Linked DNA regions of Struthio camelus. The main gene of each other region encodes a partner of the protein of the gene in region 3 in a complex. Links are inferred from orthologs where the notes say so. Each region holds a gene or a part of one and is shown on either strand. Other genes may lie near its edges. The genes, in order: EFCAB2, IQCD, TCTE1 and GAS8.

The links.
Region 1: TCTE1 (region 3) and EFCAB2 share a complex: the UniProt entries of both Homo sapiens proteins name them as parts of the nexin-dynein regulatory complex. The link is inferred for Struthio camelus from reciprocal best matches to the Homo sapiens genes DRC5 and DRC8.
Region 2: TCTE1 (region 3) and IQCD share a complex: the UniProt entries of both Homo sapiens proteins name them as parts of the nexin-dynein regulatory complex. The link is inferred for Struthio camelus from reciprocal best matches to the Homo sapiens genes DRC5 and DRC10.
Region 4: TCTE1 (region 3) and GAS8 share a complex: the UniProt entries of both Homo sapiens proteins name them as parts of the nexin-dynein regulatory complex. The link is inferred for Struthio camelus from reciprocal best matches to the Homo sapiens genes DRC5 and DRC4.

The regions. Positions count from the first base shown.
Region 1 is NC_090944.1:99,242,639-99,249,781, forward strand, and holds the start of EFCAB2 (dynein regulatory complex protein 8), read left to right. Parts: upstream 1-4,135; 5' UTR 4,136-4,170; coding exon 4,171-4,198; intron 4,199-7,143. UniProt on the Homo sapiens protein: Component of the nexin-dynein regulatory complex (N-DRC), a key regulator of ciliary/flagellar motility which maintains the alignment and integrity of the distal axoneme and regulates microtubule sliding in motile axonemes.
Region 2 is NC_090958.1:4,675,159-4,682,563, forward strand, and holds the start of IQCD (dynein regulatory complex protein 10), read right to left. Parts: upstream 3,008-7,405; 5' UTR 2,932-3,007; intron 2,591-2,931; exon of another isoform or gene 2,091-2,590; intron 1,884-2,090; 5' UTR 1,742-1,883; coding exon 1,049-1,741; intron 1-1,048. UniProt on the Homo sapiens protein: Component of the nexin-dynein regulatory complex (N-DRC), a key regulator of ciliary/flagellar motility which maintains the alignment and integrity of the distal axoneme and regulates microtubule sliding in motile axonemes.
Region 3 is NC_090944.1:104,556,690-104,564,607, forward strand, and holds the start of TCTE1 (dynein regulatory complex subunit 5), read right to left. Parts: upstream 3,017-7,918; 5' UTR 2,753-3,016; coding exon 2,572-2,752; intron 530-2,571; coding exon 1-529. UniProt on the Homo sapiens protein: Component of the nexin-dynein regulatory complex (N-DRC) a key regulator of ciliary/flagellar motility which maintains the alignment and integrity of the distal axoneme and regulates microtubule sliding in motile axonemes.
Region 4 is NC_090951.1:1,755,079-1,761,993, forward strand, and holds the start of GAS8 (dynein regulatory complex subunit 4), read right to left. Parts: upstream 3,014-6,915; 5' UTR 2,951-3,013; coding exon 2,948-2,950; intron 2,386-2,947; coding exon 2,293-2,385; intron 1,091-2,292; coding exon 893-1,090; intron 673-892; coding exon 466-672; intron 1-465. Other genes in the region: DBNDD1 (dysbindin domain-containing protein 1), read left to right, coding at 6,326-6,374. UniProt on the Homo sapiens protein: Component of the nexin-dynein regulatory complex (N-DRC), a key regulator of ciliary/flagellar motility which maintains the alignment and integrity of the distal axoneme and regulates microtubule sliding in motile axonemes.

The DNA.
Region 1 (7,143 bases), about 5.3 Mb from region 3:
GATCCTCCCCTTTCAGCCTCAGTGAACTCCCCATCTCTCATGCAATCATACCTTCAGATAACTTATTCAGGAGGCCAGGATTTGGGCTTCTTGGGTTAAGTCCTTGTTTATTACCTGAACGGAAAATGAAGGAACTATCATGTAAATTTATGTGCTTATTGCTCTTCTGTTGGTTAGAGTTGCACCCGAAAGGCTCTTCTTTCTTTTTCAAAAAGAAAACAAAATAGATAGACAAGATTCTGATGAAAATACCAGCAGTTTTGAAGAGGTCAACGGCAGAGCTATTAGTGGTGGGTATGCCTACTGTCTGGCTCTGCCCACTCTATGAGGCTTCTCTTCATCTGGTCCAAGCATAGGCTCAACAGACTCTAAGGAAAAAAGGAAACAAGCAGGAAGAGAAGACATTTCCCTCCCACACATCAAGGAATGAGGTATCTGCTCTCAATGGAATTTACCCAAAATTTGAAGGGAAGACATAGTATAGGTAAAGAACAGTCTTTTTTCTCATTTTTTATCTAGTTGCTGTATATCATTTGAGTGAACAGATAATGTTTTGCTAATACCCCATTTTGAAGAAGCTGTTACTGAGTCACTTGAATCAGCTGCTGATCCGAAGGAAGACCGAAATGAAGATGCCAAATGCACTGGGGTCTTTCATGTTATATTGGGGGAAAAGGGCACTGCCACCCAGAGATACATTTTAGCTGTAAGAACTTAGGCAGAGGAGTAAAGGTAGACTCCAGTTACAGAATCACAGCTATTACTTTGCTTTCTCTGTGAAGGGCAAATGTGTCTTCAGTTATATGGTCTGTTCAGATCCACAGAGGGAGTCCCATAGCAAAGATTTTCAACATGTGTTCACAATAAAGATGTGTCCAAACGCTGCAATCCCAAAACCATGGAGGGTTGGTAGGCATTATTGTGCCTCCTGAAAATACTTTATCTTTTACATCACTTTTCCCATTTTAGTACTACTTTTTTAATGCCAAACAAAATGTCTATGTACAGAAAATATACAAAATGTGTGATAGGTCCCTGATATTTGAGAGGAATGTATGTGATGAAATTCCTTAAGTGCAGAAGTAAGGGTGCCTTCTTTCTATTAGGCTTCAGTGGATTCAGACTGGACATCAACATAGCTGGTTTCTTCCATATTTTTCCCTGAGATATTTTTTGACATTTTTAAACGAAAAATTACAAGTTTAAAAGGGTATGTTCTCTTCAGAGGAGCTCTTTAAAGATCTTGCATGTAGCGTAGCAGCTGATATTCCAAGCTGTTGAATTAGTAGTTCTGGGTTTCCTTTTGTACTTGTCTGTGCCAAAACACGATTAGTTGTTTCAGCCCACTCATACCCTTGGTTTGAGATGTCTGTGCATTAAGTTAGAAGGGAAACAGTCATGTGGTTCAGGTCCAATATTTGATCTGCATCATAACTGTTACCATTTTTTTCCTTCATTTTTCAAGATAGCGTTGCCAGGAAATTTTAAAACAGTGAGTTTTCATTTTGAAGCGCTTTCTCATTGCGTATTTTGTTCTGCTCCTGCAGACAGGCAAGATGCCCAACCCTGTGTATCAGGAGGTGGGGGAAGAAGGGGAAACAGGTGCTGACATTTGGCCACAAGCTATTCAAAGCAAAAGGAAACTCTAGGCTGGAGCAGGGGATGCAGACAAAGCACTTTGATTTACAGTACTCGTCATGAGTGCAATCTCAACAACAGGGGCAGGATAGGGCAAAATATTGTTTGCTGATATTAATGATAGCTGTAAGTGACGAAAGATTTTGCAGCGAGGTTAAAGGTATCAAACTTAATGAGTTTGATACAAAAATCCAGGATTTGACCAATACCTTTATCTACTTGGTATAATGCTGTCCTAACGGAGCTATTGTACCATCTGGTGAGGGTCTGGTTCAGCTGCTACAATAGGATGCAGACATTGTGAGTATGCAGCATTTCCTACTGGAAGCGAAAGACAGTTTTTCCCTTTCTTTTTAGCTTTTACACACTGCTTCTGTTGCCCTCATTCTTCGAGGAAGTTAAAACAAGTGTGGGGAGAAGACCCGAGTTCAAACCCTTAGGCTGGTGAGGTAGACCAAGCATAGGCCCTGGGGAAATTACTGGAAAGATGTTAAATGTACTGGCCTGAGTGAAATTCCTTTCTCACCTCTTCATATTTGCAAAGACTCACTTCAAGTCAAAGGCAACTGTAAAAACACAAGATTTTTAATAAATTAGCATGATAAGCAATATTTATATCTATTTTAAAACTGGTGGTTGTTCATATTTTGGGTATGGGTTTGGCAAGAAAACCTAAATGAGACTGAAATAGGATTTTTAAAAGCATTTATTAGAACTTGGTAAACACTGTGAATAACTTAGCATTTGTTGAAGAGCTCTGAAAGTTCTCTGTTGAATCAGGTAATCTGGAAAATAACACAAGAAATCTAATGCCGGAGAACAATATTGGAGAACATGAAATTTCACAATTGGGGTAGAGGAGGGAAGTACTAACTAAGAAAGCTCTGAGCTTGTCCAACAACGTATTTGGCACTTTTCTTCAGTTTCAAACATGTAACTCATTTGCCACAGACACACAACCAGTCAGGACAAAGGTTTTGCGTGTGGAAGTCTTGAGAGAATAAGAAATGGGACCGCTGTAACATTGAAAGATAACAACAGCCTTTCCTTGTGCTGCTGCTAGGCCCTCTTCCTTTTGCTGCCATGCTGCTGCTCTCACCAGAACTTCTTCTATAAATTTGAGAGGAAACAAATCCATGCTCCTCATGCAGTCAAATATGTACTTTGAAATATTTAGTTACTTTCGTAAACCGTTCAAGTCTACAGATTACCATTCAGAGGGATCAGCTTTGCTCAGAGAGCACAAACAGCTGTTTTCCCAACAGAGTAATTGTGTGTTCTCTTGGGTATCTATTATACCCACTTTATTCTGAGCTACATTCAATAAAAATGCAGAAATAAATGGCTGAAAGGCACTGTGGATTTCTATTTCCTGCAAATAGCAAATGTTATTAAAAAGCAAGTTATTTTTTAGAGCAAGGAAGTCCTATCTCTGCTCAATGGGTTGCTTGAAATTTCAAGCTTCCATGAGTGCTGAGCACATCTAACTGTTTCTTTGAGAGGTGGATAAAGGTGTGTGAGGAGGAACCATCCACCTGAGCTTTGCAAAATTTAAACATCTGGCAAATAGGCACCCGCGGTGGCAAGGACCAGGTTCTAGTTCTAGGAATTTCATAAAAGCGTTTTTTTTTTTCTATGAATATATGATTGCATCTGATTGGAAAATTAATTCTTATTTTATCTGTATTTTCTGTACTTCCGTAGTTGTTTTTAGAGTTGGAAGAACCATGAATTGCAAACACGTCTGCTAAAAGATGTACCTAGAATTTTAGCCGTGTAGTTCTGTTTAGGATTAGTGGATAGACTATTTTAGGGGTTTCAGGGTGGTGGTATTCAGAAGGAAATGTTCCTTCACTGTCTGAAGCTCAGATACGTGGGAAATTATGCAGCTGCTGGGAAAACTCAATTTAGAAGAGCATAGACTATTGTGAAACAGCAACATCTCTCGGGCTCCTTCACAGCCTGCCAGCCAGGGCAGCGGCGTGCTGCGAGCGACGCTACCTCGCAGGCCAGCGGTACTTTCCCATTGCGTTTTCTACCTCCTTGGTAGCCGGGGGGGTACCGCAGCGACTACCGCTCGCTGCGGCGCGCGGTCCCGGGCGGTTTGGGCGGCGGGCGCTGCTCCCGCTTCGAGCGAGGCCCCGTCCGCTGCCCGCTGCGGGGTGCGCGCTGGCGTGGCCCTTCACCCGCCTTTTGGGGCTCGGCCGCCACGGAGAGCTGGCGTGTAAGGTCAACGCTCAACGCCGGCCACGAGCCCCGCCAGTGACCTTCTATTTGCCTTCCGCGGCGCGCGCCGAGAGGCCTCAGTTAAGGGCGATTTCGGGGGCCGCGAAGCGCCCTCGCTGCGGCGGGGCCCCGCGCCCAGGCCGCCGCTTACCGACAGCACGGACCCCTCCGCCGCCGCCAGGCAGCGCCGCCGGGCCCCGGCCGGCCGCCGCTCACCGGCCTGAGCCGAAGCCCGGGCCCGGCCGCGGGCCCGGCGGCGCTGACGGGCGGCCCGCGTCGCCATGGCGACGGCGCAGAGCTGGCGCCATGGCGGAGGAGGAGGGGAGCAGCGAGGGTAAGGCCAGGCCGGGGCGAGGGGAGCCGCCCGCAGCCTCTCGGCCGGGCCGGGCCGGGCCGGGCCGCCGCCGGCGCGCTTGGCCGCCTGGGGCTGCGCCGGAGCCGCCCGGCGGGTGGCTGGCTGCGGCCTGCGGAGCCGCGGGGCTGCTGCCGGCCGGGCCCACGGGCACGGAGAGACGCTGCGCCCGCCGTCCGCCCCACGCACGGTGGCAGCCAGACACCACACGGGCACACAAATGCGCGGAGACATAAAGACACACACACACACCCCCCTGTGCAGCACCACCGCCTCTTACCTGCCCCTGCCTCCGGGGGAAGGGCTCCTTCCCCAGCACTCCCTGTGGTGGAGGATGCCACCCCTGGGTGATGCCACCCCACCAGGAGATGCCACCCCTGGGTGATGCCGCCCCAGGCAATGCCACCCCGGCCGCGCTGTCACCACTTGGGGTGGCTTCGGGGGTGGGGTGGGGGGGCTAAACCAGCTGCTTTAGCCAGTTGGTCATCTCCTCTTTCATTCATTTTTGGATGTGTCAGGCGACCTCTGCCAAAAAAAAGTAATCTGGGCTGCTGATAGCATCATGACTTATTTTTAGAGGCAAGCATGTTCTACTTTAGCAAGCATTAGCAGAAATGATGTTTTATAGGCTAAGGGTAACTCCCGCCGCAAGGATATTCAAGTATCATTTCAAGAAAAGCAAATGTACTTCCTGTAAAACTCACAATACTGCGACTCTTAAAACTCACCCCTCATTTCCGTAAATAAACTGGTGTACATAGTAATATTTTGCAAATTCTAAATATTATATTTAATCTAAATAATGAATTATTTCATATTATTCAGGAAAAACAGTATCCTCCATAGAGAAATCCTGTATAAGCATTTGTTGCGGATAGTGCTGAATGAGTAACTCGATTTCATTAGAAGTATTTCTAAGACAGACTTTGCGGTATAGAGATCTCGCATAAAGTAAGAACTAAGACCAGTGTAGTTTCAACGAGGACTGTTGCTAACGGTATTACTTCTTGAATATTGTTTTCCATCTATGTTTAGTCTTGCAAAAGCATTTTTTTTTCAATCATTCCAGTTTTACAAATGAAGCTGAAGCACAGTACTGGTAGAGATAGATAGGTAGAGAGTTTAGGATAAGAGTCTAGAAGGCTGCTGACCCGTCTGAGAAGAGGCAATCTGGTGTTTTAGCAGGATAGCCGTGATATTGGCAATGTCTGGCTCCACATATTTTGAGCGCCCATACACACGTGAGATTTTGCACCGTTTTGGCAATCCACAGGCAAAAACTGTTGGAGAAGGAAGCTTGTGGTTTTTAGGTTGCTTGAGTAATGTGTTTTAATGCAGGTTTTGTAGATTCAAAGTGAGGATGCTTTTTAAAAGGTTTAATTACTGTATTACTGAAGAAACATATTTTGGTTTTTTTTTGCTTCTTATTTTTTAACATCCTGTAAAACACTTCCTAATAGGTATCAAATGTAGGAATGCCTCCTTCTATAGGAAAACAGTCCGTGCTGCCATCCTAAGCAACCCTGACACCTCAACTCCATTCCTAGCCCTATTGGACTTCCCAATGGATCGTGGGAAAGCAACATACTGGACTTTAGTTTCCTATCCATAAAATGAGGCCAATAAGCTCTATCACGTGGATATTTCAAGGACAAGACATGTAGCTCACCTTTAATCACTCAAGGGAGTTCTACTCTTTTATTAGGCGGACAAGTTGCTTCTTACCTCATAAAGGTTTCTCTTTATTATAAACACGTTTGAGGCAAACGAGCAGCCAGTGTCTCGTTAAACTGCAGAAGGAGTCCCACAAGGGTAAGTAGCTTCTACCCATTTTGGAGTTGCTATTAGCCTTCTTATGCATAGCAGTTAGAGGGTTAATTAGGATTCCCCAAATCTAAATTCACATGTTGATCACGCTTTCTTCCAACAAGCATTTCACATATAAAGTAAAAGTTGCAGTTTGTGTATTACGGTTCAAACAGAACAATAACATTAGCTGTATTGTCAAATAATTAGTCTTTAGGGTATTCCCCTCAGTTCTTTGTAGAACGGCAGTTCCTCCAGCTTTCATGGTAAAGGTTTCCCTTAGGTCCTATTATTTTCAAGTTTTGTCTTCTTCGAAGTTAAAATGCCTGCTTAAATATTTTACAGATACACACACACACACACACACACACACAAATGGTGAAAGGTCAAATCCTGCAACCTCTTATGCATAACATTACTCACATGAGTATTACCCTCTAATTTACATTATTCTTGTGAATATAATCCTGCATGCACAGAAGTGTTAGTAGAACATGCCCATAGTATCTGTGGCTATATGTTTTATGTATGAATTTATAGCTCTGTATTTGTGCTGCTTTATTTTTTCAACAATGCTTAATATTTTTCTTTATACTCATTTGATTACAGTAGTCTGTTTGCCTCATCTCTTTTTTTATATTTGTCTGTATCTTCCCTGCCATCATTCTATTTCTTACCCTTCTTTTGCTTCTTAGTTCGGTCTATCTGTTCTTCCATTTGCTCTCAGATACTTTTTTTCTTATAATTTGACATAAGATGTCAGATTTTCTAAATTTTAATATCTCCGATCTCAGTAGTGCTGTTACAAGAACCTGAAAGCAAAATGTCAGACTGGTAGTGCCTGAAGTAGAACTAGACAGAAGACAAGACATATTTTTCTCCAGCTGGGATTTAAGAAATTACATGAAAGTACATAAAGGGAAAAACACTCAGTGTTCCTATGTCATTATGGTAATGCTGTGTACTTGATCAATACTACAGTTTTTCTAAGACAATATTCATTTTGCTAGTTAGCACATGTTTAAAATGCAATTAATGCCACAAATTTTAATCCGAAAGGAATTATATTAAATAGTCTGAGCTCCTGTTTCACGCATTTACACTTATACAAAACTAAATAA
Region 2 (7,405 bases), on a different chromosome or scaffold from region 3:
CAAAGCTAGCAAAGGGAACAGAGTTAGTTAGTTTCCAAGATGCTTTGGAAACCTCTCACAGTTCCTCCGTGAACCTGTGAATAAGGTCAGAGATTGAATGAGCCATGCTGAGACCCACCAGCACTGTAATTTGAGGAAGCTTCCACAGGTGCTGCCCCATCTGAACAGGATCCAAAGTCAGAGCCACTGGAAACAGCCCACTGGCTTCATCAAGTTTGCATTAGGCTCAGAGGGACAGTCCTGGGGACTCAGCTCAGTGGGCTGCCTGCAAAAGAAATACTCATCTGGGACCAGTAAAACAGGTTTATTCATTATGCACTGGACAAGTTGCCAAATGGCACATAACAATCTCAAGTGTCTCAATTCACAGATCTCCAGGGAGTGGAGAGAATTCAGGCCCTTGTCTGCATTAGCACCATTCAGTGCAGTGCAGAACTTTCCTCTCTGACCCCTCTTGCTGAAAGGAGGGGGAAAAAAAAGCATACATATAAAACAAGGAATTGCTTGTCAAGAGTTCAGGGCTCAAATTCTGGCTCAGCCCAAGGTCTTGGGCATGTCCATTAGTTTACCTCTGTTGCTTTCTTTGCAAAAAATAAACATATGTTATCACACATTAATTATAAATGTTCTAAGGTTGCTAGTATTATAGAGTTGGAAGTCATAGAAATGTTGCTTTTAAGCAAGAGTGAAGGCTGAGTAGATATTAAAAATGCATTTTAATACTACTGCATTAATGACAAAATGCTATTGCAGCAATTTGTGCCTGTTCTACATCTCCTTTTTAAACTCGGTGATTTCCAAGGTGATTTAAACTGCCAGTGAGAAGACGATAAAAACATGTGAAATTTAAGTTTAAAAATCAAGCATGCAATAAGCCTTTTAAATTATATTTTGAAATGAAGTAAGTGTATTTTACTTTAGGATCTGGTTTACAAACCATTTTTGGAACTTCCTGTCTAGGGTCTGCAAGAAAAGGATTATTTCCTAGTTTACCAAAATTTTGCCTCATTGACCCTTTGTTAGAAAGCATATTCCCACAATATCATACCTTTTCATCTCGAGACTGGGTTGTTGCTGCCAGTTCTGCCTTTAAAGCTGTGAGTGTTTCAGTGTTTTTTGTAATCCGGCGGGAGATGTTTTCCATGAACTGAATCTTTTCTTTCTCTTCTAAGAGACTAGTCAGCAGTCTCTCATGCATGAAATTCCTGAACTCCCTAAAGGCCTTGATAAACGCTTCAGCTGATGACTGCTTTGCACAGACTTCATATTTCAGAGCCTGACAAAGTGAAGGGTTGGCGAGCAAGCGTCTCAGAATATTTCTAACAGAACTTTTCAGATGTTGCTCTAGCAAGCAAAGACAGTCCCTCTGTTCCTCTGCTCTTGACGTGTCCTCTTCTTGAAAGCTGGAGAGTAGGTCCTCCACTTTGCTTGAAAGCTTTTGGTGCTCAATCAGGTCATTTGTGATCGCAGGGCCCAGCATATCAGCAAACCTATCCAGAGAGTCAATAATACAAGGGATCAAACTGCTCAGCTCCAGCTTGACAATCGTCTCATCCAAGACAGATATGATTCTTTGGGTCTCACGAGTATTAAGTTTTGACCGACTTCGATCTAACATCTTCTTGGCATCTAATCCGATCACTTCCTTATTTGGAGTTTGAACGCCTTTTATCAAGGGCTTATTTCTTTGCTTCGTGTCCCGAGATGATCCTTGGAGCACAGTTGGATTCCCTGTTGCCATGGCTTCGGTTAAATAATTCTGAGCTGAGTCTTCTGAGGTCTAGAAGGGACACAAAGAGTAAGACCACAGAGAATGACTCAGTCGAAGTACATCAAGGTCCCTCTGCTGCTTCTGTGGCAAATTCTTCTTCCTCAGATTTTATCTTTAAAATAAAGTTTGGTGAGAGCATTAGAGAAACAACATTATTTGGGAAAACGTGGGAGTTTCAGATTACACTCTAGTTGTCCCTAGGTCTAGGCACACAATAAGGGCATTGGGGTTTTACATTAGAAGTGATCTCTATCCCAGAGATGCTGTTAAACGTCCAAATGTACCAGAACGCCCATGGGAAAGGAAGAAAACTAATAACCTCCCTACTTTGAAGGATGGTGAGGAGAAAGCTCCCAGCTCCTTCTAAGTAGCAGGTGAGATGGAGATCACCGATTGCAGCTCTACAATGTTTACAGGTGCATGGGGGGGGGGGGGGGGGGCTTGCAGGTCTCTAGGGCCACCTCAGAAGGAAGGGCAGGTTTCCTGGTGGGAAACATGCACCTTCATCAGTTCAGGCCTGGTGCTGCTGGAGGGAGGAAGTGCAAGAGCTGATCCCCGCCTGGAGGGGCTGTGCTGGCAAGGACAAGGGCCAGGGGAAGGGACAGTGAGGGGGCAGAGGGCAGCCGCATGTGGGAGGGTGACAGAGAGTCAAGGGTCCTCTGGCTGTGTGTATGGGGGCACGAGTGCCAGGGGATCCCAGGGATCCCCCGGGCATGGGTCAAGGGGAGATTCAGGGAGCTTGGGGGGGGGGGGGGAATCCCCTGTGCGTGGGTTGTGGGAGTGGGGTGCCAGGGGTCCCCCAAGTGTGGGTCCAGGCCTGTTGGGGGTCCAGGCCTGAGGGGAGAGATGACCAGGGTGTATCTTGGCAGGGAGAAGGGGGAAGAGGGAAGGCGGGGGGGGGGGGGGGTGAAGGCCCAGGTATGTGAAGGGCCAGGGTGTATCTTGGGGGGTCAGGACCCGGGGGTGCTGGGGCCCAAGGACCCCGGGGGGCAGAGGCCCGGGGTGTGTTGCAGGGCCTTGGGGGTCGGGGGCACAGAGGCCCCGGGGGGTATCATGGCGGGGGGGGGGGTCGGGACGGGGGAGGGGAGGCCCGGGGTCGGGTCCGGGGAGGGGAGGCCCGGGGCCGGCGCGGGGGGTCTCCGGGGCCCTGCGGGCGCTACCCGGGCTCCGCTCGGCCCGCCGCCACCGCCGCTCCCGGCCCGCCCGGCCGCCGCCGGAGTCCTCGGGTTGCTAGGCGACCGAGCGCGGCGGGGAGGGGCAGGTCCCCTCCGACAGCCTATGGCGCCTGCTCCACTTCAGGGGCCGCAACACCTCGAGCCACTCAGCGTTCTCCCCCGCGCTTGATGGGCAGCGCGACTGTCCAATGAGAAGGCCACCTGAGGGCGCCGGGCCGCGGGAGCGAGCCGCGGCGGCGCGGGGAGCCGCCATCTTGGCTGGGGCTGGGGGCGTGAAGGCGGCCGCCCCCGCGGAGCGCTGAAGAGCGGTGCTGCGGACACAGAGAGGCGAGGGAGGCAGAAACGTGCATCAGTGGAAAGGGAACGGGGGTTTTCCGCAGCCTGGTCAGCCCTTGCTTTATTTTTGTAACGGCTGCTTACCAGGCGGGGAACAGGCCAGGCAAAGCAAGTCTCCCTGAAGGATTTGGCATCGTCCTCTGCGAGCAGATCCGGGCTCACAGCTCGCCTTCCCGCCAGGCCCCCGGGACACCAGGCAGCGTGTTCCTAAGAGCTCGAAAAATAAGCCGAAAAGTAAACTTCGTAACCCCCTTCCCCAGACTCAAGTCTCCTAGGCCCTCCGCACACAGAAAAGAGCAAAGGCAAAGTAGGGGAAGCACTTTTGCGAGCCCGTGCTCACATCCCCGTCCCCTCTCAAAGGGTTTCCTGCGTAACCGTCATCGCCACGTCTCAGCGCCGCCACTGACCTCAGGAACAAGACGTCAGGAGTAGCAGGTCATCACCGCTGCAAGCCACCTGCCGCCGCCGCACTGGAAACGGACCCTTTGCCTGGGCCCTGATGGAAAGACCGCTCCAGAGCAGGGACGTGGTGCTGCTAAAAAGATCTTTCAGGGGCGCAGAGTGCACGTACGCATCGGTCAGGCCACGGTTACAGAAATTCAGATCATGTAGCAAAATTAGACTGGGCAGAATATAAAGTCTGTGGGGATTTTAAATGTAAGACCATCAGCAACCAAGAAATTACCCTAACTGTACTGTTAAGGAAAAGTAATTTTATATCACACTGCATTCAGTGCTATTAAAATGCTAATAAACTCTGGAAGGCTTCTGCTGATTAAGATGCAGATGCCACACATGCACAATTAGTTGATTAGCCATGAATTAGCGACGTCTGTAGAGAACATACTGGCCCATCAAAACTCAGTGCAAGTCCTGTCCTCACACTGCTGAGGGATCAGCAGGAGGCATCCATGTGGGGAGAGAAAGGCTTGGGTTTCCGGGAGGAAACTTGGCAAAATGCCCAAAGCCAGCGCTAGTCCTAGTGACATGTTTCTGTCTGAAGAGGAAGGAGTAAGTGCTAAGCAATGGCACAGCAGCTGTGGGACCCCACGGACAGCATCATCTGGCATCTCTGCTGCGGCGCTGCATAGAGTCTGCTCACGTCAACAAGAACATTTACTTATTTCTGGGCTTAGCCTGTTTGAGCCAGTGAATAAATCCCCAGCGCTGGAGACTGTGCCCAGCACTGGTCCAGCGCATCTCTTGGCTATTATTCCCTGCACAACGCAAACTAGGATCTGGTGATGGGAGATGGAGTAGGAGTACCAGGGCCAGACTCTCAAAGCCAGGCCCCTGCGAGGATGGATGGGAGGAAAGCACCCCTGGGAAGCAGTTCCTTACGTACAGGTCAGGGACTGCTCGTGCAGTGGCTGAGCTGCCTCCTGCTCCCAGCAACCAAGTCAAAGGAGGAGGAACGGCGCTAATGTTGCCATGATCCCTTCCTTCCCTCTGCCTGGGACCATGCAAGTGCAGAGCCACAAACAGGGGACGGCTCCCTGGTTAGTGTGCCTGGGCTCAGCACAGCACAGGTTCAGAGGAAGGTCCGGCTGGGATTCAGTGCAATGGTAAGTCTGGTTCAAGTCAAAAATGCTGCAGCCACCAGCACAACACCCTAAGTTGGTTCACCCAGCCAGCTGTGGGGTGGGGTGGTAGCTCTAACTCTGTGTGTGGGACAGTCTGTCTTCAGCTTCCAGCAAAAGCACAGAGCTGTCCAGAAGCACCTTCTCTTGTGCCCTAATTTGGCACTTGTGATTATGTCAGCTCCAAATCAGCGTGGCTGTGCTGGCTGAGCAGGAGACCCACAGCTTTAGCACAGCAGGGCCATAAAATCAGAAAGATAGTGTGCCGCTGATTGGATGTTTTCCTAATGGCATACTGCGGTCATCGCAGCACAGAGAAATAGCCCTGGAGACATAGAGAGCTGCTTCTTTTCCTGCCAAGGATTTCAGGAGCGAACCCTGACCCCAGTGAAAGGCTGCCACTCCCCTGTAGACGTTTTGGCAATTAAATCAGTCTTGAAAAAAATGTCTTTTTCTTTCCAAAGCTGATGAGTCCAGATTGCCTCATATGAAATGGGCAACTGCTCTCGGAGAAGTGGAAACTCCAGCTTCCTTACAGCCATGACCTGGAGACAGGATCAACTGCTGTGAGCAATTGTCAGCTGAGAGTCCCGCGTGCCCATGCACGTGGCCTGCCTGGAGGGACAGAAGCATTTTGGAACATACAGAGGAGAGAGGAAGAAAAGGGTGAGCCTGTGGGTCGCGTCCAGACCTCCTCTTAGCTAGGGAAACCCATGGAGCACTGCAACTCCCTTCTGGATGCTAATTAGAGATATCTCAAACTTGCAGGCTGCAGTGGGGGTGATGGCATGTGCTCAGAGCAGCCTCACTCGTCCTGCAGCTTCCAGTACCACCTCCAGGCCGGGAGCAGCTTTTCTGCCAGGAATGAAACCAGGCTGCTTTGGGAGCTGTACGAAATGTCACCAAAACTGTGTGTCGTCCCTTCCTCTTGTCCAGGATGTAGAAAAACCTCAGATCGGTCCTGAAACAATTCAGCCTGCAAACAAACCGGCCCAGCCTGCATCAGGACCCAGAGCTCCAGCACATCCAAAGGTGCTCGGGAATCAGAACTGTATGGGCAAGGGAGCTGTGCTGGGTACACCTGATCAGGAAAGGGGGAGCTGAGAGGCTCTGCGTGTGGGTACAGCCCAGGCATGCTGTCCCCCACTGTTCAAGTCCAGCTGTGTTCAGATGCAAAGGTCTCTGTATATCCCTTGTAACTAAACAGCTGAACATCAAAGGCCTGCTTGGCCCCGTCTGCCTTTTCACCTCCCCATTTGAACCACTCTTCAGACGCAGAATTTTTAACTACTCACTGAAAGGCAGTAATTGGCTCATCCTTCTCCATTGTGGCAAAGAGAAGGCAAGGTTCGGCATGTGTGAGCAAGCAGGCTCTGCTGATCAGCGTGGAAAGCTGTGATCCTCTGCAATTTGGGTTTATCCAAATCAGTTCCTTGCCTTGTGCTACCACCCATCCATATGTGGGTCAACGGAAGGAACAGCAGGGAGGGGAGTATATTGCACCAGTTAAAACTGATTGTGAAACGACAGCAAAAGAGCAGAGGCACACGAAGATGCCAGGCTGCAAGGTTATCGTACCCAGGCCCAGTGTTACTGTAGGGACAGTCCCCTCTCTTCTTGGCCCTGACTGCAGGTCCCTGCCACTAACTTTGTGTTGGCTGTAGCCAGAATGCAGCTGCGGGGAGGCAGAACTTGTTCACTGAGAGCATCTTCTGCTCTTCTGCACACCAGCTCTGAAGCCGTGAACTCCCATCGTGCTCTCAGCACCGAGCTATACTGCTGAGCCGAAGTGGACTGCGTTTGGAGGGCTGAGAGCACTTCACAGGCTGCCACCACCAGCAACCTGGGGTATCACCACAACAGACACCGCGTGAGGAGCTGCATCCTCAGGATGCCCTGGCAGGAGCCAGTTGCACTCATTGCTGTGGTGTGCTGAGCCTTGCATGATGCACTGCTGGGAACATGGAGCTTTGGCACCAAAACAGGCCCTAGGGAATCTGCGGGACTGCCTGATCCCTGACCGCTGCACCCTGCTGCAGCTCTCGCTTGTTTTTACTAGTTCCCGTGTCTTGCTATGAGTCATTGCCAAGGGCATGCTCTTCATCTGTGTTGTGAGCAGGTGGGAGTGACCTGAACTTCCTCTTGCCCCCAGGAACCTGTTAGAAACACTCTGGTGAGGCTCTGGGAACATCATTAAAAATAACAGTATTGTGTCCCTTTCCTAGTGCTTATTTTCCATTTATTGGGGGAGGGAGAGAGAACATTTCATCACTCTTGTTATATGCAGAATTGTCTTTGACCTGCATTCCTTCCACATCCCTTGCCAGCTAATGGGTTGAATGCAGGTTAGCTAGCGCATGACAGGGCTTCGCAAACACCACTTTCAGGTTAATAGTTCCTATTTCTGTGGTGACCTCCATGCATAAGGGCCCAGAGCAGTTTGGGGTTGCACAGAGAAAATGAGACCCACCGCACTAAGGAACACCACTGGTATGAAGCGTTACAGCTGCTTGTTCACACAGAGCAAGACAGCAAAACAGGCT
Region 3 (7,918 bases):
TAACAGTCCTGGTGGGTGAAGTTAAAGAGGTTCCACTCAAAGTTCATGCCACAGTCCTTCACACCATAAGTAAGAATAAGCTCTTCAAGATGAGGGAGAGCAGTAATGAGGACTCCCAGGTCATAGTGATGCATGGAGGCTTCACTGAGCTCAAAGTCACTCCCGGAATCGGAGAAGTCATCTTCCTCCTCCTTTTGATCCAGCTTCACTGGGGGAAGGAACTGATCAACCTCCAGTTTCCGCACATACTCTTTGCAGAGTGGGATGAGCTCCAGGACCTGGTTGGGGTCCGTGATGTTAGGGATGAAACATTTCAGGATATTCTCCAGGTGACGTTCGAAGAACATCCGCTTCCAGCTATCTCCATAGTTGGAGACATCGCACACTTGCCAGCGCTGAGTGCAGCACCTCTTCCAGTAGTCCTCATCACGTATTAGATTGGCAGTCACAGTTAGTGGAAGTCCAGTGGAGAGCTTGTCCAGCACCTTCCTTTGGTGCTCAGGCAGAAGACAGTCCATAATAGGGTTATCTGGAGGGGATGGAGAGGAGGAGAGGTTGCTCTGGGCTGTAGGCCCATGGCACCTGTAGGCCAAGGTTCTGTCCAGACCCTCAGCTGTGTGTTCATGCCCTCCCCTCTACTGATACTGGCTCCCTTCTCAGTTACCTTTAGTCGGTGCAGGGAACTAAGCTGGCAGAAAATGACTCATTTTTGTGTAGGATTTCTATCTTTTACTGTAAAATATCACCGTAATTGAATTTACTCTCATAATATTTGGAGACCGCATCAGGAACTTAGCTCCTGTCTCTGCAACCACCAAAGTTGGGTACCACAAACAAGGTCCTGACTAAAGTTATTGACCTGTAGTTGGGAATTTGCATATAGTTTTGAATAGATCTTGAAAGGATCTGCTTTCCAGCACTCTAAATCCAGATCATCAGTTTAACTTTGGTTTTAATTCAGTTTATGTTCAGAGAAAGACTGCTGCCACTAACACAACTATTCTAGGCTTACAGTAATGGCAGAATTTGACTTGTCATTTGCTGAACTTTTCCCCTGTGGATTCTAACCGTATTAAAGGATGATATTTGAGAAGTGAACTGTCTGTTTGCTTTTCATACAAGTCCTCGTCTTTTCATCTTAACTCAGGTGTCTGTCTTACTCCAAACTGATTCCTGATTCCTTCCCACTAAGACGCACTTTATCTTAGCCTTCAGATCCACCCTATTTAAATAAGGGTTCTCCTTTCCCAGGAGCTTTCTCTCCTCAGTCCCTTGCTTTGAGTGTCAGCTGACTTTTCTCTGGTGGAAGTTCTTTGTGGTAAGAGATACCAGAGAAAAGCAATGTGTATATACACCATGAATACTTGGTGACAGGTACATGTATGTGTTGAATCACAGACCTTATCAGTGGAGAGGCCTGTCTGCACATGGGAAGTCAAATTCTTAGACACAAAGTGGGGTTAGTCTTATATTTTTTCTCTCTCTGGGGCATTTTCTTCCTAAGGACGTGCAGAGTTTTACCAGAGGCTCTTCCCGGAGTCTCTTCTCCAATAAGAGAGCTGGCACTGCAGTGACCTTCTCTGCAAAGGCTCACAATGCAAGCAGAGGTGAGACACATGTTGGCATAAGTAGACTAGCTTCAGTCTGGCTCACTCAGGCAACAGCAGTGGGCAAGATGCAGCTGCACAGGTCAGACGCTGGTATGAGGGACTCCAAGAGACTGAGCACACTTACATGCATGCACTGTCGGTCCAATCCGTTTGGCATCAGGCTGACTGATCAAACTGAAAGGACTTGGAAGGTCTCCCAGCTGGGACCTAAGGCAGCGCTGAGCTTCTCTATACTGTATTATAGTTCCAGTGTGAACATACCCTTATACCTATCTTTGGTTTTTGCTACAACTCCACTAAGTCAGCCAAAAACACAGGTAGGTCCTGTCTTTCCTCCTCCCACTCGCTTCCCAGATGAGACACCCTTTCTATGTTTTTCTATGTGTTTCATCAGTCCACCTGCCTCAAAAGCACTTTCCCTGCCTGGGGACATGACTTATCACATCACCACCAAAAGCTGTGGAGAAGGCCTGAAACTGTGAGTACAATATGAATTCTGAGATGAGGGTTCTTTGGAGCAGGGAGTATTTCTACATCTCTTTGTACAGCACTCAGCACAATGGGAGCTCTATCCTTGAGTACTACCATAATGTATGTATGAATCAAGAGAAGGAAATAGCAGCTTCACAGTCCTGGTCACAGTTGAGGTAGTGAGTCCAGCAGACCATGGAAGGAAGAAGAAATGATAGGACAAGGTTAGGGCAGAGTCACATCCTGGATAGCAGCCCAGAGGACTAATGTCCTCTGGAGTGTCCCTGGAGTGTGCAAGTACATGCTTAGCAACTAAATAGCTTGCTTAACTAGCTGCTTGAGGAGATGTTTTTCCCCATCTGTTTCTCTGGCAGGGCTGGGTACCACCCTCTGTGACTTTCAGATGCATCTGCCTGCTCTGTTGACCCCCTGCTTCCCAAAAGAGATGCTGTCTCTCTGTGTGTCCCAGGCGAGAGGCACTCCTGCTTACTTTCAAAATTTCGAATGATGTGCTGGAGGCAGAGCTCGGTGAGCTGTGGGACAATGACGAGGGACCACTCAGGATCCTCAGCAATGATGCGCTGTATACAGGATGAATCAGCAGCGAAGCTGGCCTGGGATGGGAATGTGGGAAGGGCTGTGCTCACATCACCAGCCACTGGCTCCTGCATCCTGCTCAGGTCCCACTTCTCCTTCAGGAGAAGCTGGAGAAAAATTGCTTGAGATCAGAAGTCACCACCACGTTTTCCAACTGGACTGCCTGGAACAGAAAAAGATAATTTTAGTAAAAGGCCAAGCAATAAGAATACTTTGCTCACATTACTCTTTTGTGATGCACTTTTCCCCTGCCCTTTGCCTGCTTTTGCCTTTTCTTGGACTGGGAGCACTGCAGCACAGCGACTATTATTTAGCCTTATCTTTGTATAGTGCCCAGCACAAAGACATCTCTAGGTGCTACATGTAATAAACAGATAATAATGTGGTGTTAATTCAAAGTGCTATTGAAGAGGGAGGACAGGAAAGGGTTGCTTACTGTCTTTTCCAATAAAAGAAATAAGGGCCTTAAGTGAAGGTGGCAGGAGCTGGGTTCAAAACACAGAAAAGAGATGGTTCTTCACACCATCTGTAGTTACGCTGGGGAGTTTCTTGCCACAGGATATTGTGGATGTTGAAAATCTGTGGCGGTTTCAGTAGAGACTGGACAAGTTCATGGAAGATAAACCCCTTTGAGAATGATTAAACACACAGAAACTACATCTGGCTCGGTATGAGTTGAAAATGGTCGGAGGTGGGGAGAATGCTGGAGGGAAGCAACATGTATACTTGCATCTGGTCACTGTGAGAAATGGGATACTGGGCCAGATAATCCACATTTGTTCCAATATGCCTGCTCTTATGACTCTGTAAAGATAGATGCTTACTATACATATATTCATTTTTTTCCGCCTTTCACAATTAATTACCAGCTGAACTCCTTCCAAACATCCATTAACTGATGAGGTGGGTCAGTTCTATTCAGACCCACATTGAAGATAAGCAGATATGAGCTAAAAGAACCAGGCTAGAGCAGAAGGCAGGATGCCCAAGTCCTGTTAGCTCTGCAAAGCTTTCCCAGACTAGATCTTCCCTTTTGCTATTTCCTACCCCTACCTCAGGACCAGCACTCTCAGCCTTCATTATCGGACATGTATGATTATTGTCTGGAAGTCCTAATGGTTCCCTCACCAACCCCACCAGTCTGAAAGAGTCAGAGGAGACACCAGGAAGCAGAAGGCTCTTCTTCTGCCTTCTGGGTCCTGGATTCGACAGCGTTGCCCAGGCTTGGCAAGCCTGTCGCAAGGTGCCCAGACCTATGCTAAATATGTATTGGGGGTAACTGGACATAACAGGGCTACAGTTTAGTGGGAGAGGAAAGAGGCTCATAAGAACAAGAGAGTCATTATGAGGAACTGAATTTCAAGGGAGCTGCTTGAAAGGGAGAAGGATAGTTAGAGATTCCAGGGCATGTGAAAACAGCACCAGGCTGTTGAAACTGAATGACTGTAAAGGCCCTGTTAACTGGAGAGTTTGCAAGCGTAGGGGAAATTCTTCTTGAGTCTAGTTATGCTCTAGCTGAGATTGCATTGCTGGCAGTGCCAGAGGCAAGGGCAGCTTCCTACAAGACCAAGGGGAAGCCTTGGGGCAGAGGGGGCCCTGCACCATGATAGAGTCGAAGGATCCTGTGACAACATCCTACACAGAGGCTGATAGCCATGTAGTGTGTTGTGCCACAATATCCCTCAGATGAACAGTGCTTTGATTGCAAACAGCTCCTCCTTTACGGAGGGCAAGAGCCAGATGGTGCTCCCCAGATCAAATGCCTCATTTTCTTCCCTTGCATGAGGCTGCTTCCTTTTCCCCTGAAGTCCCAGTTTGTGCTGCCTCAGTCGGCACAAGCCCCTCTTTTCCCGAAAGCTTTGTAGTAGGCTTTGCTAGCTTTCCTCCCTTTGCTCCTTCCCCCTCCAAAAGACATCCGATGAAAGGGCCTACAAAGGAATGTGCAAAAGATCTGTGACATGCCAGGAACTAGAAGAGCAAAGCAAAATGATTCATATCTACTGCAGCAAGTGTGTCAGCAAAGGCTTCTTTAAATGCATTTTCAGCAGATCCTAGAAAAGAATGATCTTTTCAGAATGAGAGTCAGGAAATAAGGATGAGGGAGATGGCAGTGGCAGGGGTTCCTCCATCACAAAGCAGGAGGATGAAGGACGCTGAGGCAGGCAGGTTATGTCTCCCATTAGGCTTTGGTGAAAGGATGACAAAGGCAAAGGCCATAGAAAAAGGGGCTTTGTTCTGAAGAAGGAGAGATGGGGAAGGGGAGGGAATGGATGCAATGTGACTGGTCCAAAATGAGAAGTGGCAACCATGTGTTTGAAGAGCTCCCTGCCCCCAAAGGAAGGTGCTGTGACGGCAAGCTACCACTGAGGGGAAAGAGAACACAACACATTGACCCAGCTAAAAACCCAGCTCTTAATGCTGGCCGTCTTTAGTGGAAAGGGAAAGCACAGCCAGACGGCGGTGAGGTGGCACTGAAAGAGGAGAGGTGCCTGGGAAAAATGTTTTCTTCTTGCTCAGTCCTTCATCCTATTCAAAAAGCATCTGTGTAACTGTGCCCCCCAGGCCAGTCCCAGCTGACTGGGGCTTCTGATGACCTTTCTGACCTTCTGGGAGCAATCTTTAAAGGCCAGCTGTTAGGAAAAGCTAGTGCAGCATTGATGGCCTAGGATTATTTCATGGCTGTATTCCAGCAAATAATCTGATTGCCAGTTTACTGATGGTAGATCGATTTTTAGAAAGTAACCCACAGCGCATGCAAGACTGCCAGATGGCCTCCTGCAGGCCAAGCGGGAGACACAACCCCTGTCCTCAGGCAGAGCAGAAACCCAGCTCTAGAAATCAGTACGACCCCTCGGTACATTGGATGAAATCCATTGAGTGATGGTTGCCTGGTGTGTGAGGTTACCTAGATGAGGACTAATCTCAATGTAAGCTGATCCCAAATGTGAGGCTGCAGAATACAGCTTGGTGTTTGTGGCCCATCTGCTGAGGACTTTTGTCTGTACCTGAGCTCTACACCAAGTCAGCTCCTCTGACTCTGCCGTTCCCACTCAGCATTCAGCGTGCACACGAATCTAGCAAGAGGAAGGCTGTTAGTGTGTAATAACTAGCCCACAAGGTGTCTGAATCAACCTCAAGACTGAGGTGTTGGGGAGGGCTGAGTCTGACACTGAGTCATTGATCACACTGAATCAATTCACACCACCCTCAGCACAGTAGCCACTCACCACTGCTTGCCTTCATCACCTTGGTTTTCTGTGAGCCTCTGTGGGTCTGGATGTCCAAATATGCAGTCTGGGGGAAGGGTTGCTTTCACTATTGCATCCCCTCTGTCTTGGCTTTAGGAACTTCATAAAGCCAGAGCTAACATGCCAAGCCAGTTCCCATGGCTGGATTTGCTGAGCATATATTTAAACACTAGAGAAGTGTTGTAATTCACTGACTATCAGTAAGCCAAGTCAACAGCAATAACACATGCTCCTTCCCACCCACTCTAAAACTTAAGTCACCTATCCTGCAAAGGCTTTATTAAATAATATACAATGAGTGGGGACATGTAGTAAATTCCTAGTTTATATAATTTAACATACGGATTAGGCTGAAAGGTAAATATACTGAAATTTCTAAAAAAAAAATCACATTTCCTTTCCCCAGAAGAAGCAAATCTTTCAGGATTCCATTCACGTAGCCAACTTACATTGCTACCTAACATTTTGGTTCTTCAGTCCCACCTGTTTTGATCTGCAAATAGGACATCTGCTCAAACAGAAAAGTTTTCTGCTTTTTTGAACGACACCAAAGCCCAGACAGACCACTAAGAAGAGTCATGTGGAAATTGGTGACATTTGGCTGATGCCCCCTACCAGAATATGTTGAGCCAAGAAACTGAATGACTGTAAAGGCCCTGCTAACTGGAGAGTTTGTAAATGTAGGGGAAATTCTTCTTGAGTATGGTTGTGCTCTAGCTGAGATTGCATTCACGTTGAAGCTTGGTCTACCCGGACACTGAGAAAAGTTCTCACGTCCTTGCTGCAGCATTCTGGAAATGCTAGGTGAACTTCAGGTGTCTTTGCCATTGTGTTGTTACGTCTACTCTGCATAGGCTAGCTGAGACATCAGCAAAAGAGCCTGAATACAGGCTAGCACTGCTACTCCTGCTACCACCAGCAGTGACATGTGATGCTCCCTTTCGCTTACGTAGAAAGGCTGATGCTAAGTTTGCATTAGGAAAGCATACTGCAGACTCTTAAAGAGCCTGAGTCTCTGGAACGGGCCTTAAGTAAAGAAAACAATGCATGCCAGATGAGGGATCCATTTAGTTTCAAATAGCCTGGAAATGAGCAGCGATCAGGCAGAACTAGGTTAGCCAGCCATTTGGGAATACGTTAGTGTTGTCACTGCAATATGACAGGTGCCAAGGGGCAACAATCTGGTCCTGGATAACTGTCAACATATCAGACACCCTGTCCAGGTAAGAACCTTTCTGAAACATGAAAACAGTTGAGGAACTGAGCATTGCCCGTTGTAGCCCTTGCTAGTCTGCACAGCTGGCCACATCATGCCAACCCCTGGAGATCCAGAAAGGAGGTATTTGCTGAGAGGTAAGGAAAACATCTGGCTGCTTCCAAAAGCTCAACCCTCAGTTAAAGGTACTAGTCCAGCTCTCTGAAATGCCTGCTGAGAGGAACCTTATATTCTCTCCTCCCAGCAAGGCTCCTCTGCAGAATCCCAAAGAGAGAAAAAACCTCACTAGATTGGTCAGTTTATCAATAACAGTTATGAAGAACAGTGTTTTTCTCCAGTTCTGCCTCTCCAACTAACTGTGAACTGTAATGGGGTGTCCACAGAGGAAACAAGATTATTGAGACAAGTCAGAGGATGCTGGGAGCCTGCGAAAACGCTGTGAACAGAGCCAAGATCCAAAATCATAGGCCTGTGCTTTTAATAAGCAGAGCATGTTCCTTCCTTCTCCCCACTGATCCCCTTCCAGAGCGGCTCCTTACCCTGTGAGTGTCAGGGTCCCTAATGGCAAAAGGCGTTTCTCTGCCGAGGTCTGGTCTCGCTTCTCTCCTCTCCCAGACCCGCGGAGAGCAGTACCAGTGTGCGGCGCAGGCAGGCACCGCGCCGGAGGGCACCCAGGGTAATAATCAGCTCCCGCAGGGAAAGAAAAAAAAATTAAAGTTAGAGGCTTGAATTCAGATCTTGGCAAATAAGTGAAGGCAGATCTAATCTTCAAATGG
Region 4 (6,915 bases), on a different chromosome or scaffold from region 3:
ACAGCCCTGGACAGCCCCAGGAAGTGGCTAAACCTCCCCAGGGTCAGCTACACCCCAAGAGAGTCCTCCTGCTGTCTGGGAACAGCTCCTGCCACCTCACATGGATCCCATGCTGTCTGAGCAGACAGCTGCTTAGTAGATTCTCCATCTGTCCTTATGGCCTTGGAGCTGCTGCCTGGCTCCCTGCTGCAGGAGGGATGACTTCTAAGGAGCTGCCCCAGGAAGCCCGTCTCTCTGTTCTTATGCTGTCTTTTCAACCCACCTAAGTATATCTGTTACTGGCGCATATGGGAAACCCTGTTCTCTTTCCAGGGAGACAGCAGGAAGGTAGTCTGCTGCTCACACGCCAGGGCAGGGAGGGCTCAGTCAAAGGCCTCAGCACTTCCCTCTGCCGCAGACGAGCCTTGCCTGCTGCCCGGGCCTCAGCCCGGGCCTGCTGCCCCTCCCGCCCTGCCAGCGACCTACCAGGTGCATGTTTTTCACCACCACCTCGTTGGCTAGCTCCTGTTCCTTGAGCTCCACTTTCAAGGAGCGTACGTCTTTACGCAGCTCCATCTCCTGAGCCCAGTGATCTTTCTGGGCCCGCTTCATGGACAGGGTGCCCTCTGCCTTCAGCTCAGTGAGGTTTTCCTGGTGTTCGTACAACAGGTGCTTCACCTTCTGCTTGTAAACCTAAAGACAAGCCACAGACCAGGTGAGGGGCTTCAGGAGATGCTGACAGGAATACACCTGAAGCTGGGATACTGACCCAGATGCCCCGGACTGTATCCTGCCCATCTCCTCCTCCTCCACCTCCCTTCCCTCACCTCCTCTCCGAGCTGCCCAGGGCTCACCCGCAGCTCCTGCCCAGCCAAGGTACTCACGACAGGTCCTAGCCTACTCATCCTCCCACCTTGATCTCCACTTGATGTCGCTCCTCCGCCTCTTCCATCTCCCGGTTCTTGTTACGCAGTTCTGCTTTCTTCTCCTCCAGCTGCCGACGGGTGATCTCCCAGAAGGTGTGAATCTTGTCACGCTCCAGCTGGAAATAGTTTCGCTCTTGCCATTTCTGGTCCAGCTCCTCCTGGAGACGCGCAACGTGTTCCTCCAGCTGCAAAGCCAATAGGAAGAACCAAATAGGAGGAAAAGGAGGCCTCGGACAGACAGCTCTCCGGGAAAAAAAAGCTGAACCGAGGCTCTTTTCAAGATATCCATAGCAACCCATGTTGCAACCTTGGTAGGACACAACATAGTGGCTTTTAATGGGACAGAAAAGCACAGGACAGGAGGGGAGGTACCCTGAACAAGAGACATTTGGAGGGGGTGGGGTTTGCACAGGACCTGACAGCAACCCATCAGCCTCTGGGAAGAGTAATAAGACCTTTTCCTGCCATAAGAGGCCAGGACTCAGCTATTCTGTCTCACCGTGGCCAGTAACACCGTTCTGCGATGCCTGAACAACACTAGGTCAGAAGCAGAAAATCTTATCCCAGGCAGTGAGGTCCCTGGGACAGGGCCAACTTCTGCTATGTTTGTAGGATACCACCAAAACACAGCCCAAAGTGGAGCATCTGGAGCAACTGAACATAGGGAAGGAAGTTACATTCTCCACCTCTGCCCTTCCTTAGGGCACCTAAGAGAGCCTCCTGTCCAAGAAGGAATGCGTTTTGTGATGAGTGCCACAGGCTGCAAGCCACGAAGATACAGGTTGGGCAGTCACAGGGCTGAGTACGAGCATGAGTGCAACTGCTTGCAGAGATCAGTCTGCTCCAGTTATGGGTGGAAGCAGTCAGTTAGGGGGGCTTGATGGACAGAGAAACACTGATTGAAGTACAATCTCTGTCTGTCAGGCAGGTTACTGACAGAAGGAAAAATACCAGAAAATAAAGTACTTAAATAACATGGTATAGTCTCATCAGGGGTACCTTTTTCACACCACCAGGACACTCTATCAGGACATTTTCACAGCACTAGGACAATGAAACAAGAGAGCAGGGTGCCACGGTTATGAAGTCAGGCCTAAGACAGTGAAGGCACTGGGCTGGAGAACAGCAGAAGGGAAGATGAGACGAGGTGGCTGATCTTTTCAGGAAAAGTGCTGAGCAGGCTTTGTGAGATCGTACACATTGTCCAGACATGTGTGAGGCAGTGAAATGAACACCAACCGCTTGTTCTGTCTTCTCGACTAACCTCTGCCACCTGTCATCCCTGGAGCCTGAACCAAACATCGAGCACCGGCCTCTGCTAATGTTCTCACAAACTTCAGTGTCCTCTGACCTTGGGGGTAGGCTGGGATATGTGGCAAGCTCTCACCTGCTCCTTGCTCATGTCCTTGGGGGACAAGCCATCCACCACTGCTGGAGCTTTGCCCACTTTCCCTTTTTTGCCACCTTTTTTTTTGGGTGCCTAAGAAAAGAAATCAAAACGCATGAGGTGTGCGTGCGTCTCGGGGGCTGCGAGGAAGCTGTGCTGCTCAGCGCTCTCCTGCTCGAGCTGCTGTCCAGGCCAGTCACGCAGCTTGCCTGCTCTCACGGCGTGGAGAGGTTTAGAAGGGCGACGGGGTCGGGGTCCCGGGGAGCAGCCAGGACACTCGAGACCCTCTGGGACACCTGCAGCTCCACGAGCAGCTTCTGCAGGTTCGCTCCGCAGCAAAGCTTCGGGCCCGGAGGGGCTCCCCTGCCCTCCGCAACTGACGGCCCCGCTACCAGAGCCCACCGGCTCACCACCGCCCGCCCGCGGAGCCCTGGGGGCTGCCGAGCCCCCGCCGCGGCCCGCACCCCCCGCTCCGGGGCTGCCCCAGGCCCGGAGCCGGCCCGGGCCCCGCGGCTCCCCACGCCCGTACCCGAGGGCTCCCTGGGGGCTCCCCCCTGCCTCCCCTCGGCTCCCCCCGCCCATGCCCCGCGGCTCCCGCCGCCCCCGGGGCCGCTTCGCCCCCGGGCTCCGGCCCGGCCCCGGCGCCGGTCCTCACCATGGCTGCGGCCGCCCGCGCCGCCGTCTCCAGGCAACGGGCGGGCAACTCTCGCGAGAGCCGCGCCGCGGGAAGGGGGCGGGGTTGCACCGGGAGACACGCCCCCTAGCAACACGAGGCCCGACCCTAGCAACGGCGGCGGAGCCTCGCAGCCGGCGGCCCCCCCACCCCGGGCCAGGACGCGGGTTCGCGTCCCCCCGCCCCGGCCCCGGCCCCGTGCAGGCCACGGGGCGCCGCTGCCCGGCCGGCACTGCCCCTGCCCGGCCGGCTGCCCCCAGCCCACATACAGGGGCCAACAGGTCCCCTCCGGCCTCCTTTGGAGGGACCGTGCACCCGAGGCCTCACAAACTCATTGCACCGCTTCTATTTGCATCAGATTTTTCCTGCCCCTCGGGAGCAGGAGCTGCCACCATCCCCTGCCGGCTTTCACCTCCGCCACCGTGAGCCCCTCGTGGCAAACCTCAGCGCCCGCCGCTACTCCCGGTGCCCGGCCACCCGGCACGTGGCAGGGCCCGGGCTCCCGGCGAGGACACGGCCTCCAGCGCCCGTCCCTGCCCCAGCCCGGCTGGGTGCCCCTCACGGTCCCTATGCAGGGCCCCTCGGCGTCGCCCCTGGCCATGCACCCGGCCGGGCCGTGGTGCAGGGCTCGCGAGGGCTTGGGTGCGGGGTGGGTGCTGCAGGTGGGTCCCCGGCAGGTTGTCCCCAGCGCGGGGCCCAGGGACCCCTGGCTCTGGGCACGTGCTGCTCCGGCTCTGCTGCCTGCAGCTCTGCATGGCGCATCCTGCCCTGCCCTACTGGGCATCCCGGGACCCCTGGGGACCCCCAGGTCCTCCCTGCACCCTGAGACCCCTCTGCACCCTGGGGTCTGCTCTGCACCCAGGGAACCCTCCGCACCCCCTAGGGCCCCCTCTGTACCCTCAGACCCCCCTGCATCCTCTGGGTCCCTTCTGCATCTCCAGGTCCTCCCTGCACCCTGGGGTCCCCTCTGCACCCTGGGGTCCCCTCTGCATCTCCAGGTCCTCCCTGCACCTTGGGGTCCCCTCTGCACCCTGAGACCCCTCTGCACCCTGGGGTCTGCTCTGCACCCAGGGAACCCTCTGCACCCCCTAGGGCCCCCTCTGTACCCTCAGACCCCTCTGCATCCTCTGGGTCCCTTCTGCATCTCCAGGTCCTCCCTGCACCCTGGGGTCCCCTCTGCACCCTGGGGTCCCCTCTGCATCTCCAGGTCCTCCCTGCACCTTGGGGTCCCTTCTGCATCTCCAGGTCCTCCCTGCACCCTGGGGTCCCCTCTGCATCTCCAGGTCCTCCCTGCACCCTGGGGTCCCCTCTACATCTCCAGGTCCTCCCTGCACCTTGGGGTCCCTTCTGCATCTCCAGGTCCTCCCTGCACCCTGGGGTCCCCTCTACATCTCCAGGTCCTCCCTGCACCTTGGGGTCCCCTCTGCACCCTGAGACCCCTCTGCATCCTCAGGATCCCCTCTGCATCTCCAGGTCATCCCTGCACCCGGGGGTCCCCTCTGCACCCCCCAGGACCTGCTCAGCACCCTAAGACGCACTGCCCCCCCCGCACCCGCCGCGGCTCCCCGCACCCCCGGTCCCCGCGGCGCCCCGGGCAGGCGGGGCCGGTCCCCCCCCGGCCCCCGCCCCCGCACCGCCCCCGGCGCCGCCCCCGCCGCGGCGGGCAGGAGCGTGCGGGCTGCGGGCTGGCACCGGGCCCGCCCCGCCCAGCACCGGCCCCGGCCCCGGCCCCGGCCCGGCCCGGCCCGGCCCATGGAGGCTGCCCGAGCGGCCGGCACCGCAGGTGAGCGGCGGCCGCGGGGGGGGAGGGGGGAAGGAGGGGGAACCGGGCCGGCGCGCCCATCACCGCGGCCTCGGGCCGGGCGCCTCTGCGGGCCGGCAGACGGGACCGAGCCGCACCGGGCCGAACCGGGCTGGGCGCGGCACGGCGGGATCGAAGGGGACACTGGGGGGGGGGGGAGGGGGACACCGGGAGGGTGTGCAAGGGGGTGTGTGCATGGAGGGGTGGGGTGGGTGTGCAAGGGGGGGTGCAGGGGGGTGAGGGTGCAAGGGGGTGTGTGCATGGAGAGGTGGGGGGTGTGCATGGGGTGGGGTGGGGGTGCAAGGGGGGTGTGCAAGGGGGGTGTGCATCGGGGTAGGGTGGGTGTGCAAGGGGGAGTGTGCATGGGGGTGGGGTGGAGGTGCAAGGGGGGTGTGCATCGGGGGGGTGTGCAAGGGGGAGCATGCATGGAAGTCTGTGAAGGATGTTTGCCGGGGGGCGGTGCATGGGGGGGGTGCAAGGAGGTGTGCAGGAGGGGTGTGCATGGGGGCGGTAAGGGGTGTGCAAGGAGAGGTGGGGGGTGTGCATAGGGGTGGGGTGGGGTGGGTGTTCAAGAGGGTGTGCATAAGGGTGAGGGGGTGCAAGGGGGTGTGCAGGAGGGGTGTGCATGGGGGGTAGGGGGTTACTCAAGGGGGGGTGTGCATGGGTGTGGGGGGGTATGTGCAAGGGGTGTGCATGGCAGTGACGGGGTGCAAGGGGGTGTGCAGCAGGGTGTGCGTGGGGGGGTGTGCAAGGAGGGTGCGCATACAATGGGGTGCACAAGAGGGGTGTGCATGGGGATGGGGGCGCACCGGGGTGCGTGTGGGATGTCCGCAAGGGGTGCGTGCATGGGGGGGGGACAGGGGCTCAAAGGGCGTGTGCAAGGTGGGGTGCAGGGTGGGCACAAGCGGGTGCCTGGGTGCGAGCGTGCAGGGGGCCGCTTTAGGGGTGCCCGCGCACACGGGTGTCGCGTCTGTCCACACGAGTGGGTGTCTGTGGGCCGGGGGGGGGCCGGGCCGGGGATGTCTGGGGGGGCAGAGGGGGCGCATGGCAGCGTCCAGGACGCCGGCTCGGGCCGCGCCGCGGGTGCCCGGGGCAGCTGCGTGCACGAGGGGCGCCAGGGGCGGGGGCACGCGCGCGAGGGGCGTCTGCCGGGGCCGCGCGCTGGGTGCTGGGGCACGCGAGGACGGGGTGGTGGTCGTGCCGGGGTCCCCAGCGCCGGCGGGGGGCTGCAGCCGGGGCCCTGCCGGGTGACACGGGCGGTGCGGGGGCGCCTGTGCCCACGTCCCTCCCGGCGCGTGCTCCGCGCGCGGCTGTGCCAGGGCCCCGGCCGTCGGGAGCGGCGCGGGGGGACGGGGCGCCCGGCGAGGCGGGGGGACGGCTGCGGCCGGGCGGCCGGAGCCCAGCGCTGCCTCGCTCTGCGGTTTAACGTGAGTCAGCAGAGCAGGCGGGGGAGCCCTGACGCCGGCCCCGTGTCCCACCTAGGCGCCCGGTGAGCCCCCAGCAGCCGCGGAGGGACGGAGCGCGGCCCGGCCCGGCACGGCCGGCGGCACCCCGCCACCATGCAGGCCCAGGCGAGAGGGGATTTCTCCGGCGCTGAGCAGCAGCCCGGTGCGTGGGTGCTCGGGGCTGCGCCGCCGGAGAGCCGGGCAGGGATGCTGCCGGGGCCGGGGCGGGGGGACGCCGCCGCCTCACCGCCCGGCGCTGGCAGCAGGCTGGGCAGCCGGGCAGCTCTGCCCACCTGTCCGGGCAGGCTGAGCTGAGCCACCTCCGCGGCGGCGGGGACGGGGACGCGCGGGGCTCGCTGCGCAGAGCAGGGCAGGGTGCCCCGAGTCCCCCATGCAAGGGCAGGGCGCCCCATCACATCTGGCGGGGTCGGGACTCGGCGGAGCCGCTGTCGAGGTGGGTGCACGGGGCACCCGGCAGCTCAATGCACCCCATGCGGGCCCCAGGGCTGCCCTGCCAGCAGGAACCGAATCCCCCCCCCCGCCCACCCCGTTTCCCTGCCCCGGCTCCTTTGGGCTGGGTATTTCTGTCCCCTTCCCCACCGCACTGATGCCCTCCTGGGGGCGAGCAGCTGCCCGCGGCCCTGGCACGTGCGGGGCCGAGGGCCGGCCGGCTCCCCCCGTGCCACGGGGTCCCTCCGGGCGGT